Linked DNA regions of Arabidopsis thaliana. The protein of the gene in region 1 interacts with the protein of each later gene in a pairwise test. Each region holds a gene or a part of one and is shown in the gene's direction. Other genes may lie near its edges.

Evidence for each region.
Region 2: the proteins of CSDP1 (region 1) and MYB52 interact in a two-hybrid assay, tested with the Arabidopsis thaliana proteins (one large-scale study listed by BioGRID).

What each region holds. Positions count from the first base shown.
Region 1 is NC_003075.7:17,041,472-17,047,037, reverse strand, and holds CSDP1 (cold shock domain protein 1), read left to right. Parts: upstream 1-2,476; 5' UTR 2,477-2,695; coding exon 2,696-3,595; 3' UTR 3,596-4,047; exon of another isoform or gene 4,048-4,150; 3' UTR 4,151-4,239; downstream 4,240-5,566. Other genes in the region: ARO3 (armadillo repeat only 3), read left to right, coding at 1-1,954. UniProt on the Arabidopsis thaliana protein: Chaperone that binds to RNA, single- (ssDNA) and double-stranded (dsDNA) DNA, and unwinds nucleic acid duplex. Exhibits a DNA melting activity. May be involved in cold resistance. Prevents seed germination under dehydration or salt stress conditions.
Region 2 is NC_003070.9:6,175,288-6,180,549, forward strand, and holds MYB52 (myb domain protein 52), read left to right. Parts: upstream 1-2,193; 5' UTR 2,194-2,476; coding exon 2,477-2,594; intron 2,595-2,714; coding exon 2,715-3,140; intron 3,141-3,570; coding exon 3,571-3,776; 3' UTR 3,777-4,002; downstream 4,003-5,262. UniProt on the Arabidopsis thaliana protein: Transcription factor that confers sensitivity to abscisic acid (ABA) and salt, but tolerance to drought. Regulates secondary cell wall (SCW) biosynthesis, especially in interfascicular and xylary fibers.

The sequences.
Region 1 (5,566 bases):
GAAAGCCGGAGATGAAGCCACAATCAACAAACAAGAATGTGCCGATATCAAGTCCAAAACGGAAAAGCTCGCTGCTCTTCTCCGTCAAGCGGCCCGTGCAAGCTCCGACCTCTACGAACGTCCCACGCGCCGTATCCTCGACGACACTGAAAACGTTCTTGAAAAAGCATTGACGATGGTCCAAAGATGCCGTGACGATGGCTACATAATGCGACTTTTCAACATAATCCCCGCCGCAGCATTCCGTAAAATGATTTCTCAACTAGAAAACTCCGTCGGCGACGTCTCTTGGCTCCTCCGTGTCTCAACTCCAGCCGGTAACGATGACGACGAAGGGTTTGGTTACTTAGGTCTCCCGCCAATCGCAGCCAACGAACCAATCTTGTGCTTAATTTGGGAACAAATCGCGGTTCTGATGACCGGTTCGCCGGAAGATAAATCAGACGCCGCCGCGTCGTTGGCTTCTTTAGCAAGAGATAACGATAGATACGTGAAACTGATAGTTGAAGAAGGCGGAGTCAACCCTTTGTTGAAACTTGTAAAAGAAGGTAAAATCGACGGTCAAGAAAACGCAGCGAGAACAATCGGGTTACTGGGTCGTGACCCGGAAAGTGTTGAGCATATGATTCAGCTTGGTGTTTGTTCAGTGCTTTCAAGTATTCTTAAAGAAGGTTCGATGAAGGTTCAAGCCGTTGTGGCTTGGGCTGTTTCAGAGCTTGTTTCTGGTAATCACGCCAAATGTCAAGAACTGTTTGCGCAAAACAACGTGATTAGGCTTCTTGTGAGTCATTTAGCGTTTGAAACGGTTCAAGAACATAGCAAATACGCGGTTGTTGCGGGTAGAGCAACGTCGATGCATCACGCCGTCGTAATGGCGAGTAAAATCAGTAGTAGTAAAGAGAATTTACCGGCGTTGAACGAGGAGGAGGACGACGATAATCATATCGGAGTCTCGAGTCCGATGACGAATCAGATGCATAGCATCGTTGCAACAACAATGGCGATGAAAGCGGTTGGATCAGGATCGAAATCGAATCTTTCTAGCCGATTTGTTACCGGCGACGACGATAAACCCCCGGAAAAGATACCGGAGAAGAGTTATAGTATGAGTTCACAGATCAAGGCTTACGGTAGTATCGCACATCAATCGCGAAACGCGTCGGTGACGAGAGGGAGAGAGCTTGAAGATCCGGTGACGAAGACTTATATGAAAGCGATGGCGGCGAGAGCGTTATGGAAACTCGCTGTAGGAAACTCATCGATCTGCCGAGTCATCACCGAGTCACGAGCTTTACTCTGTTTTGCGGTTTTACTAGACAAAGGAGACGAAGAGACTAAGTATAACACAGCTATGGCTATCATGGAGATAACCGCCGTGGCTGAGGAAAACGCAGATCTGAGAAGATCCGCGTTCAGACGCACTTCACCGGCGTGCAAAGCGGTGGTTGACCAGTTATTCCGAATCGTTGAAAACGCCGACGCCGGATCCGATTTACTCATCCCCTGTGTAAGATCCATCGGAAACCTAGCGAGAACGTTCAAATCAGCGGAAACGCATATGATCGTGCCTCTGGTAAAACTCCTCGACGACGGAGAACCAGATTTAGCGGCGGAGGTAGCGATCGCGTTAGCGAAATTCGCGACGGAGGATAACTTTTTAGGGAAAGAACACTCGAGGACAATCATCGAAGCTGGAGGATCAAAGCTTCTGGTTCAGTTAGCGTATTTCGGAGAGAACGGAGCACAGATTCCGGCGATGGTTTTGCTGAGCTACGTGGCGATGAATGTTCCAGACAGTGAACAGTTAGCGAAAGACGAAGTGTTAACGGTATTGGAATGGTCATCGAAGCAAGCTAATGTACTTGAAGATGAAGATATGGAAGCTTTGTTGTATGAAGCTAAGAGCAGACTCGAGCTTTACCAATCAAGAGGATCTAGAGGCTTTCACTTGTAATTTTCCCATTGAATGAATTATTAGAAAATACTAGGATTTGATTTCCACGTGTGTTCCAATGATTTTTTATGTAGGTGACTCTGTTTTTTAACCACTATCAAAAAGTTGTATAAAGTTTTATTTTTCAATACCTAATTTTGTGTATTGACAATGAGAGATCACTGATCACCAACATTTTGTAGTTTTGAAAAGCATAAGCAAAAGCTGCAATACCATAGCCTGAAGCTAAAAGTACAATTTATTTGATGGATATTGATTTAGTAGTAACCAGCCGAATCGGGAAATAAAATATAAAAAAGGCCATACCAAGTCCAGCTTAAGCCCATCAGAGTAAAAATCTTGGACCACAAACAATTGGCCCAATGTAAAAATTGGACTAAGATCCCAATCTTATCGCGATTCACTGTAAGAAAATCATAACGTACGACCACGATTAAAATTCAAGCGTGGACGCGTGCACAGCTGATAAACGGACGTGGATAAAAAAAAAGTGAAATAGCAAGTTTCCTAAATTTCTCCAGTCCCAAAGAATATTCCACCAAAATTTTTAATTAGGCGGCATAGTCAAATTAGGGTTTAATTACATTCCCCACTAAAATTAGGGTTTTCTCATTAATTTCCTCTTAATTACAGATTTAATCCCACTCTACCTCTATATATATATACACACACACGCCTAAGGATTTCCCAACTTAAAAAACCCTAATTTCTCAATCTCTTCTTCAACTTTTTTTTTTAACGATGGCTTCAGAGGATCAATCGGCGGCGAGATCTACCGGGAAGGTGAACTGGTTCAACGCTTCTAAAGGCTATGGTTTCATTACTCCTGACGATGGCAGCGTAGAGCTTTTCGTTCATCAATCTTCAATTGTCTCCGAAGGTTACCGGAGTTTAACCGTCGGCGATGCGGTTGAGTTCGCTATTACTCAGGGAAGCGACGGTAAGACTAAAGCCGTCAATGTTACTGCTCCTGGTGGTGGTTCTCTCAAGAAGGAGAATAACTCTCGTGGTAACGGTGCTAGGCGCGGCGGCGGTGGAAGCGGTTGCTACAATTGCGGTGAGTTAGGTCATATCTCTAAAGATTGTGGTATTGGTGGCGGCGGCGGAGGTGGTGAACGTAGATCTAGAGGAGGAGAAGGTTGTTACAATTGTGGTGATACTGGTCACTTCGCTAGGGATTGTACTTCAGCTGGAAACGGTGACCAACGTGGAGCCACCAAAGGTGGAAACGATGGTTGCTACACTTGCGGTGATGTTGGTCACGTGGCTAGGGATTGTACTCAGAAATCAGTTGGAAACGGAGACCAACGTGGAGCGGTCAAAGGTGGAAACGATGGTTGCTACACTTGTGGTGATGTTGGTCACTTTGCTAGGGATTGTACTCAGAAGGTTGCTGCCGGAAACGTCAGAAGCGGTGGTGGTGGTAGTGGAACTTGTTATTCATGCGGTGGAGTTGGTCACATTGCAAGAGATTGTGCGACTAAGAGACAGCCTTCTCGTGGGTGTTACCAGTGTGGTGGTTCTGGTCACTTGGCTCGTGATTGTGACCAGAGAGGAAGCGGTGGAGGAGGTAATGATAATGCGTGCTACAAGTGTGGTAAGGAAGGTCACTTTGCAAGGGAATGTTCTTCTGTAGCTTAATCGATTTCCTAATCAACAAAACAAAAAAACAAGAATGAAATTGAATCGAGTTATATAGTTTGGTATATATTACTCTTCGTTTTCATTTATCTTTTTTTTTGTTGTTGATGGGAATGAAATTGCCTGGTCCTTTTGGTGTGTTTTTGAGCTTTTATTATTATACAGAGTGATCCCTTTTTGTTATAACTATTACAAGTTTTTAGCTTTATTTGATATGGATGCTCTCTCCTTTTCTTCTATCTGTTTCTGGAAATTTTGACCTCATCATATTACTTATGTCATCCAAAGTTTGAGTTTTGTCCTTTTTATTAAAGTGCTGCTAGTTTCAGTTCATTGCTTTTGTACTTGGATGTTTTGACTATTAGCAGCACAGGTATGACGTCTCAAGTTCAATAGTACTTTTTAACCCTTTGACACAAGATGAATCCAATCCACTGGTTCTTTTGTTGTTGGTAATTGTTATAGACTTTTTAGCTTTATCTGATATGAGTGACATCCCAATTATCAATTGTGACTTAATTAGTAACCTGTGAATTGATGGATATGATTTTGCAGTTTCATCCTTCTTTACCAATAAAGGACTGGATACAAATCTTGTGGACAAAGTTCAAGTGATGACCTCAGTCTTACCTGATTAATCCCTGCTTTGTACAGTCATTTAGGGAATGTCACAGTCGTTTTAAAGGGTTAAAAGTTTGAACCTAATTCACTATTAACTAAATCCAAGACTGATGACGAATCTTCCTGATAGAAGAAACTGGAAACCAAAGTTTGGTGTTCACCTTTTCATGTCCAAACAAAGCCACAAAATCATATGATCATTGGTTAGAAGATTATAGTAATAAACCACATATAAAAACCTGATTAGGTTAAACATCATCCACATCTCCTTGTTTATATCATCACTTGGATCCAATCAACGAAAACCTTGCTAATCACCTCAGATCGCATTAATCACTAATATTTTTCATGGTATTAAGTTCCATTGTCATATAGATGTCTCTTGAAATGGTAGCTTAATGAGCAATTTTAAGGTTATGGATCAATTTCTTTTGATATTTGGTCAGTTTTTTTTTATTCCAAGTGCAATCGAACCTGCAACTTCTACTAGTTTTACATCCAAAAACTCGGATCTTCAACCACACATGGATTTAAAGGTTATACTTCATTTTATAGAAATATGCACTAAACATAAACGCAACTATATAGCCAAATCTCTAATCAGTCATACCAATTTTGCTTGGATGTTTGGAAAGAAGATCAAATTCAATAAATTTGCATAGTAGAAACATACATGAGACCTACCCCACTTGTAGTATTTGTTTTTCCTATTTGAACATAAGAACCGGTCACATGTCTTAGTCAAAACATAAATAACTTGTAACAATGGAAGAAGCATGAACCAACAAAGTTAATATCTCTACATCACACAACTAAACCTTGGAATGTCGTTGACCCAACACCCTTTCTTTATAAAACAATCTTTACGGAAATTCTCATCCAACGTTAGCCACTGTATCTCTTTCCAATAATAACTCAAAAAAAAAAAAAAAAAAAAATTGTATTCCTCTCCTGAACTTCTGTATTGTATGTTCCTGCTTGAATTCTAAATAGAGAGAGATAGATGTTTGAGAGTCTCACGAAATATCAAACATCATCATATTTAGTTTTGTCATCTTGTACTTATTGTAATAATTAATTAACAGTGACACAACACAACTTGGGTGGATAGTAGCTATAGATACTTTGTAAGACCGTGTCCCTTGGAAGAAAGAAGAGGGCAGAATCTAAGGATGGCATCACACAATACGTTTTCTTTGTCAGCCTTTTTTGTTGTTCACCTTATTTCCTTCAATACATTTCCATTTTATGGTGATTAGTCTGCGTTAGTGATCGATAAACCACTAACCAATTTTTTCTCGCTCTGCTCTTTTACTTAAAGAAAAAGAAAACTACAAACGAAGTAATGGA
Region 2 (5,262 bases), on another chromosome or scaffold:
TTTCAATCTTAGGAGTAAGGGTTCTCAACGTGGTTTGATGGTATTGATTAAGTTTTAAGAAATCTTACAAAGGAAATTAAATGAGCTTTGTTGTTGAACAAAAAAAAGGAAATGAGCTTTGTGATATAATTTTCTGCTTACATTGAGATGATTGATATACTATCTACCACCAAAGTAGTTTATGAAATGTTTTCTCTCATCAAAAGCAAGAATAAGACCACTATTTCCAAAGCGTTGTTGATCAACAACAGAGTTTGGACACACTTAGTAGTCCATGAATCTGATTGTAGAGATGATCCCAAATTGGTCACTAATTGATGTGAGTGCAATGATGCTATACATACTACTGTACATATATACTAGATATTACCCACTGCTGTAACCAGCAAGCTCATTAATTATCCCCATGATTCAATAGTCATCCTTGCTTTGCCTTTTTGCTTTCTGATTAACCAATTTGTTGATAGACCTAACCGGTTTAGTGTAATCAGGATCCGGTTTGCTTTATTTGAAGAAATCTTATTTGAAGAAATTCTTTTTAGTTGTGAAAGATTGTATTTGACTTCCTTCCCAACTAACTCTGCCTATTTTCCTACTAATCTCCACCAGTAATTAAGTTTGGCTTTGTTCCTACACACGTGCAAATGACTAATGAGTTCTAAAACAGTTTGGTTATAGCTTACCTAGGATTGAATTGATTAGTTGATTGGATTATAAGCTATATATCCAATCAATCCTTATAAATATTCAATAAACTGTTTTGCAAGCAATCTCAAGGAAAATTTGAACTTTGAAGTACAATACATCACTTTTCAGGTTTTCAACTTATTCCTATCATTTTATTTATATTTCATATATTTATTTTTAATGTTCTTAAGTATTTAGGCTATGTTATTATATCTTATCTGAATGTTAAAAATAGAAGTCGGTAACCATGAAATAGAAGTCGGTAACCAATGCTACATTTCATGTTTTTTTTTTCAATTTAAATTTGTTAGAGAACTGAGAGTACAAATTAAAAGCCAACCGTCGTAGACAAGACAAGAGAGAAAGTTGGTGATGTGCTTGAAGACCAAATATATGTTTGAGCAAATAAGATGTCAAATTCATTTTTATAAAGTACAAAGCCACTGATATATCAGTCAGTTAACCTATTAATTAATTAAGACACAGAGTCGTTTTAGGGTTTCCACGTTGGTCCGATTTAAGGAAAATAAAACATTTGGTTAGGTCTGAAAGGTTTAACAAAACATATCCAACGATATTTAATTACTTTATTCTACTTATACGTGACCTGCAATTAAATCATAGGTCCCCAACATCTTTACCAAACTCTCTCCTTCCCCTCCAGTATTTTTCTCTTAACAATGTATTGATATTTTCGAAGTTATAAAACCATTTTAAAACTTGTAACAATTGTCCATTAGTTATACCAAAAGGCAATACGGTTGAAATTTAGTCATCGAGTTCGATCCACAAATCCTGAAATAATAACCGTTACATTCCCCCTTAATTCTGGACGTACGAGTTCGCCTTAGTTATTTTTTATTGTTGATTTAATTTGCGGTTATGTAAAATTTCATAAATTTGGAAAATATTGTCCACATGTAATATACATAGCTAGACTTTTGAGATTTTCATTGCTTGTAACATTGTTGTTTTATGTAGTTAAACACTAACAAATGTAAGTTTTATTTATTTCTTTCAAAGTAACACTAATACAACATCATAACAGGTAAATGCAACTATAGATTTTGCAATCTAAATGTTCGTTCTTTGAACCATATATTGTAGTTAACTAATTATAGCGTTCTCCCACCTTGATTCATATTCTAGAAGTTGTCCATATATAAAAAGCTGACCATAATAATTAATATACATGTGTACATGTAGCTTGTAAAAGGTTATACGAACGTAGATGAAGTATTGGTGGCTGAAGTAGAGGGTTTAGGTTGGAAAAAAATATATTTAAGGGTAGACGTTGAAAGTTTAACGAAAACACCCCACCAAGCAATCTCTTCCCTCCTGTGTAATCTCCTTTTTTCTTTTCATTACTCATCAATTACTCAATTATTAAAACTCTCACATAAACCAAAATAATGTATATAAAAATTACGAAATAAATGGAAAAATAAAAAAGGGTAGATTACTTAAAAGGAGTGTGTTTGGTTAGGGAAGACGTTGGCATCAATCGCCGGTGAAAACCTCTCTCCAAACTTTCCCTCACTCTCTAACGAATCTTATTATATTCATTACTTTCAATTCTTTATATAATATCTAAATAAATATACTTATATAAATACATGTATGTATGGTGCTGTTGCTCTTCAGCTTTCTTCTTGTTCCTACATACCCATCTTCCCTCACCTACATCAAACCTAGGGTTTCTTAACTATATCAACAACATATATAAATTTATATATAGGTTGTGATTTATTGAAGATCATAAAGATCAAAAGGAGAGAGGTATTAAAAAATGATGTGTAGTCGAGGCCATTGGAGACCTGCAGAAGACGAGAAGCTAAGAGAACTCGTCGAACAATTTGGTCCTCATAATTGGAACGCCATAGCTCAGAAGCTCTCTGGTCGATCTGGTAAAACTGACTTTATATTAAAGTCATTTCTTTAATTTCTTACAAAGCATATATAAACTAGGGTTTAATATATTTATATAAAAATATATATGTTGGTTTGATTGGATCTTTTGGTTTCAGGTAAGAGTTGTAGATTGAGATGGTTTAATCAATTGGATCCTAGGATTAACCGAAACCCTTTCACGGAGGAAGAAGAAGAAAGGCTTTTAGCGTCTCATCGGATCCATGGGAACAGATGGTCTGTGATCGCTAGATTTTTTCCCGGTCGAACTGATAACGCTGTTAAAAACCATTGGCACGTCATCATGGCTCGTCGTGGCCGAGAACGGTCCAAGCTCCGTCCACGAGGCCTTGGCCATGATGGCACGGTGGCTGCGACTGGGATGATTGGTAATTATAAAGACTGCGATAAGGAGAGAAGATTGGCAACCACAACCGCTATCAATTTTCCTTATCAATTCTCTCATATTAATCATTTTCAAGTCCTCAAAGAGTTCTTGACCGGAAAGATCGGGTTCAGAAATAGTACTACTCCAATACAAGAAGGTAATTAGATAATATGGCTTGAATTTCTGTGTTTATGTAGCTAATATAGCTGCACAAAGATAAAACATGTGTAGCCATACGTATATTGTATTTTGTGTGAATACATATAGGCATATATAAATTACGAACTCATAGAAAACATGTACATTCGTCATATTAATGTGCAAGTAAATGAGTAATGGTGCATTAATTCGTATACAACTTGATTTAAAAAAAAAAACGATTTTTGTATAGATTATATGGGTTAAAATTCATTGTTTTCTGTAAACTCTAAATTAATTTTTGATCAATTTTTTTTGTAAAGATAGTATGAAACGATCATGATTTTCATAGTTACATGCATGCATATGGATGTACACTTGCATGTGGGTACGATTACATACTTGTGTAACTTCCAAAACTAACTTTTGGACATGGATTAATTTGTCAGGAGCAATAGACCAAACTAAACGACCGATGGAGTTCTACAATTTTCTTCAAGTAAACACGGATTCGAAGATACACGAATTGATAGATAATTCAAGAAAAGACGAAGAAGAAGATGTCGATCAAAACAACCGAATTCCTAACGAGAATTGTGTTCCATTTTTCGACTTTTTGTCTGTTGGAAACTCTGCCTCTCAGGGTTTATGTTAATTTGTCCGTACCACATGTACTATAAGGTGGACCATATGTTAATTAAAGATAATGTAGAAAGTACTAATCAATTAGAGCTCTTGTTTGAGCCAAATGTGAAAATTAGTTAAGCCATCCCAAACATGTTCTTGTATAACAAATATAAGGTTGTACTTTTCCACCTTTATCAGGTCTAATTTTCTATTTTTATTTTAAGGATGTTTAATCAGACTCATCACCATTCGGTATTTTTTTTTCTTCATATTTACAGAAATTCAATCAGACCAATCGATAAAAAGGATTGAGCAGAAGTTAATTTATTTTAAAACATTATTAAGTTTAAAGGTTTGTCATGAAACCAATCTTAAACTGAAATTCTGAAGTAAAACCAAAAATTTATTCCAAACTGGCCTAGTTTCACTTTATACTCATTTTGGCTATGGACTATGGTATATATTGTCTAAATTACAAGATGCGTATGTACTGAGAAAATTCTGTGTCCTGAATCCGGATTAATCTATAAATTATCGTAATAGAAGGACTTGAGAGTTGAGACCAAGATTTTATATTTTGTGGAATTTAATTTGCAATCGTCGGATATAATTTTTGTGTTGTTGCGTTCTTAAGGAAGATCAAATATTATAAGGTTTGATTATTAACCGAAGAAAATATGTCATTGGTGCCTAAATATATGTACCACCAAATGAACATCCTTTTAATACAGTACTACTTAATTATAATTTCATGCAGACTATTTTGACTCATATAACTTGTGATGATGATATCAAAAAAAGAAAAAGTTTTTTTTTTTTTTAAACTAGTGGTTTTATTTATGAGAGCCTTTTAACTTCTAAAATAAAGTTTGGTTTAGTTTCTTTAATTGTGTGAAGAATAATAATAAGTTAATAACGGAAAGACGAAATCGAGGTTGGAGTATAGATATGATTAAGTTGGGAGTAGTTATCAGCCACCAAGAAATACAATCAAAAGTAGCAATCTACCTTTGTCTAGCTTAAGAAAACACGAATAAAATAGTTCGTTTTATTTAGGTGGAGATGAAGAACACACATCTTGACACGACTTATAACCATACAATTCTCCATCCGAAATTAATATATGAATTTATATCATCGAGTTTTCTTTTTCTTTTCAATTTACTTTTTTCTGAAACTGATGTCATTATGATTGCTAGGGTTTCCTCGTTGAGTTAGATATGTATGTCACCTTGATTATTATTGTTTAAGACAATACGAAAGAACAACCCAAAAAGATAAGCATAACTGTATATACATATTTTATTATGGAAGATAATGAAACGAAACGTTGATCATTGTACAAAGATGTTGAATTAATCAAATTTTGGATAAGATTAAGACACCCACTAGAACAAGAATGTATTAATTTCTGATTGGATGTGTGTATATATTTCCTAGAATCACTTCATATGAAAATAATGACGCGAATCGTTGAATATTTTTCAGTGGTGACTAGTTGATTAATTGTTCAA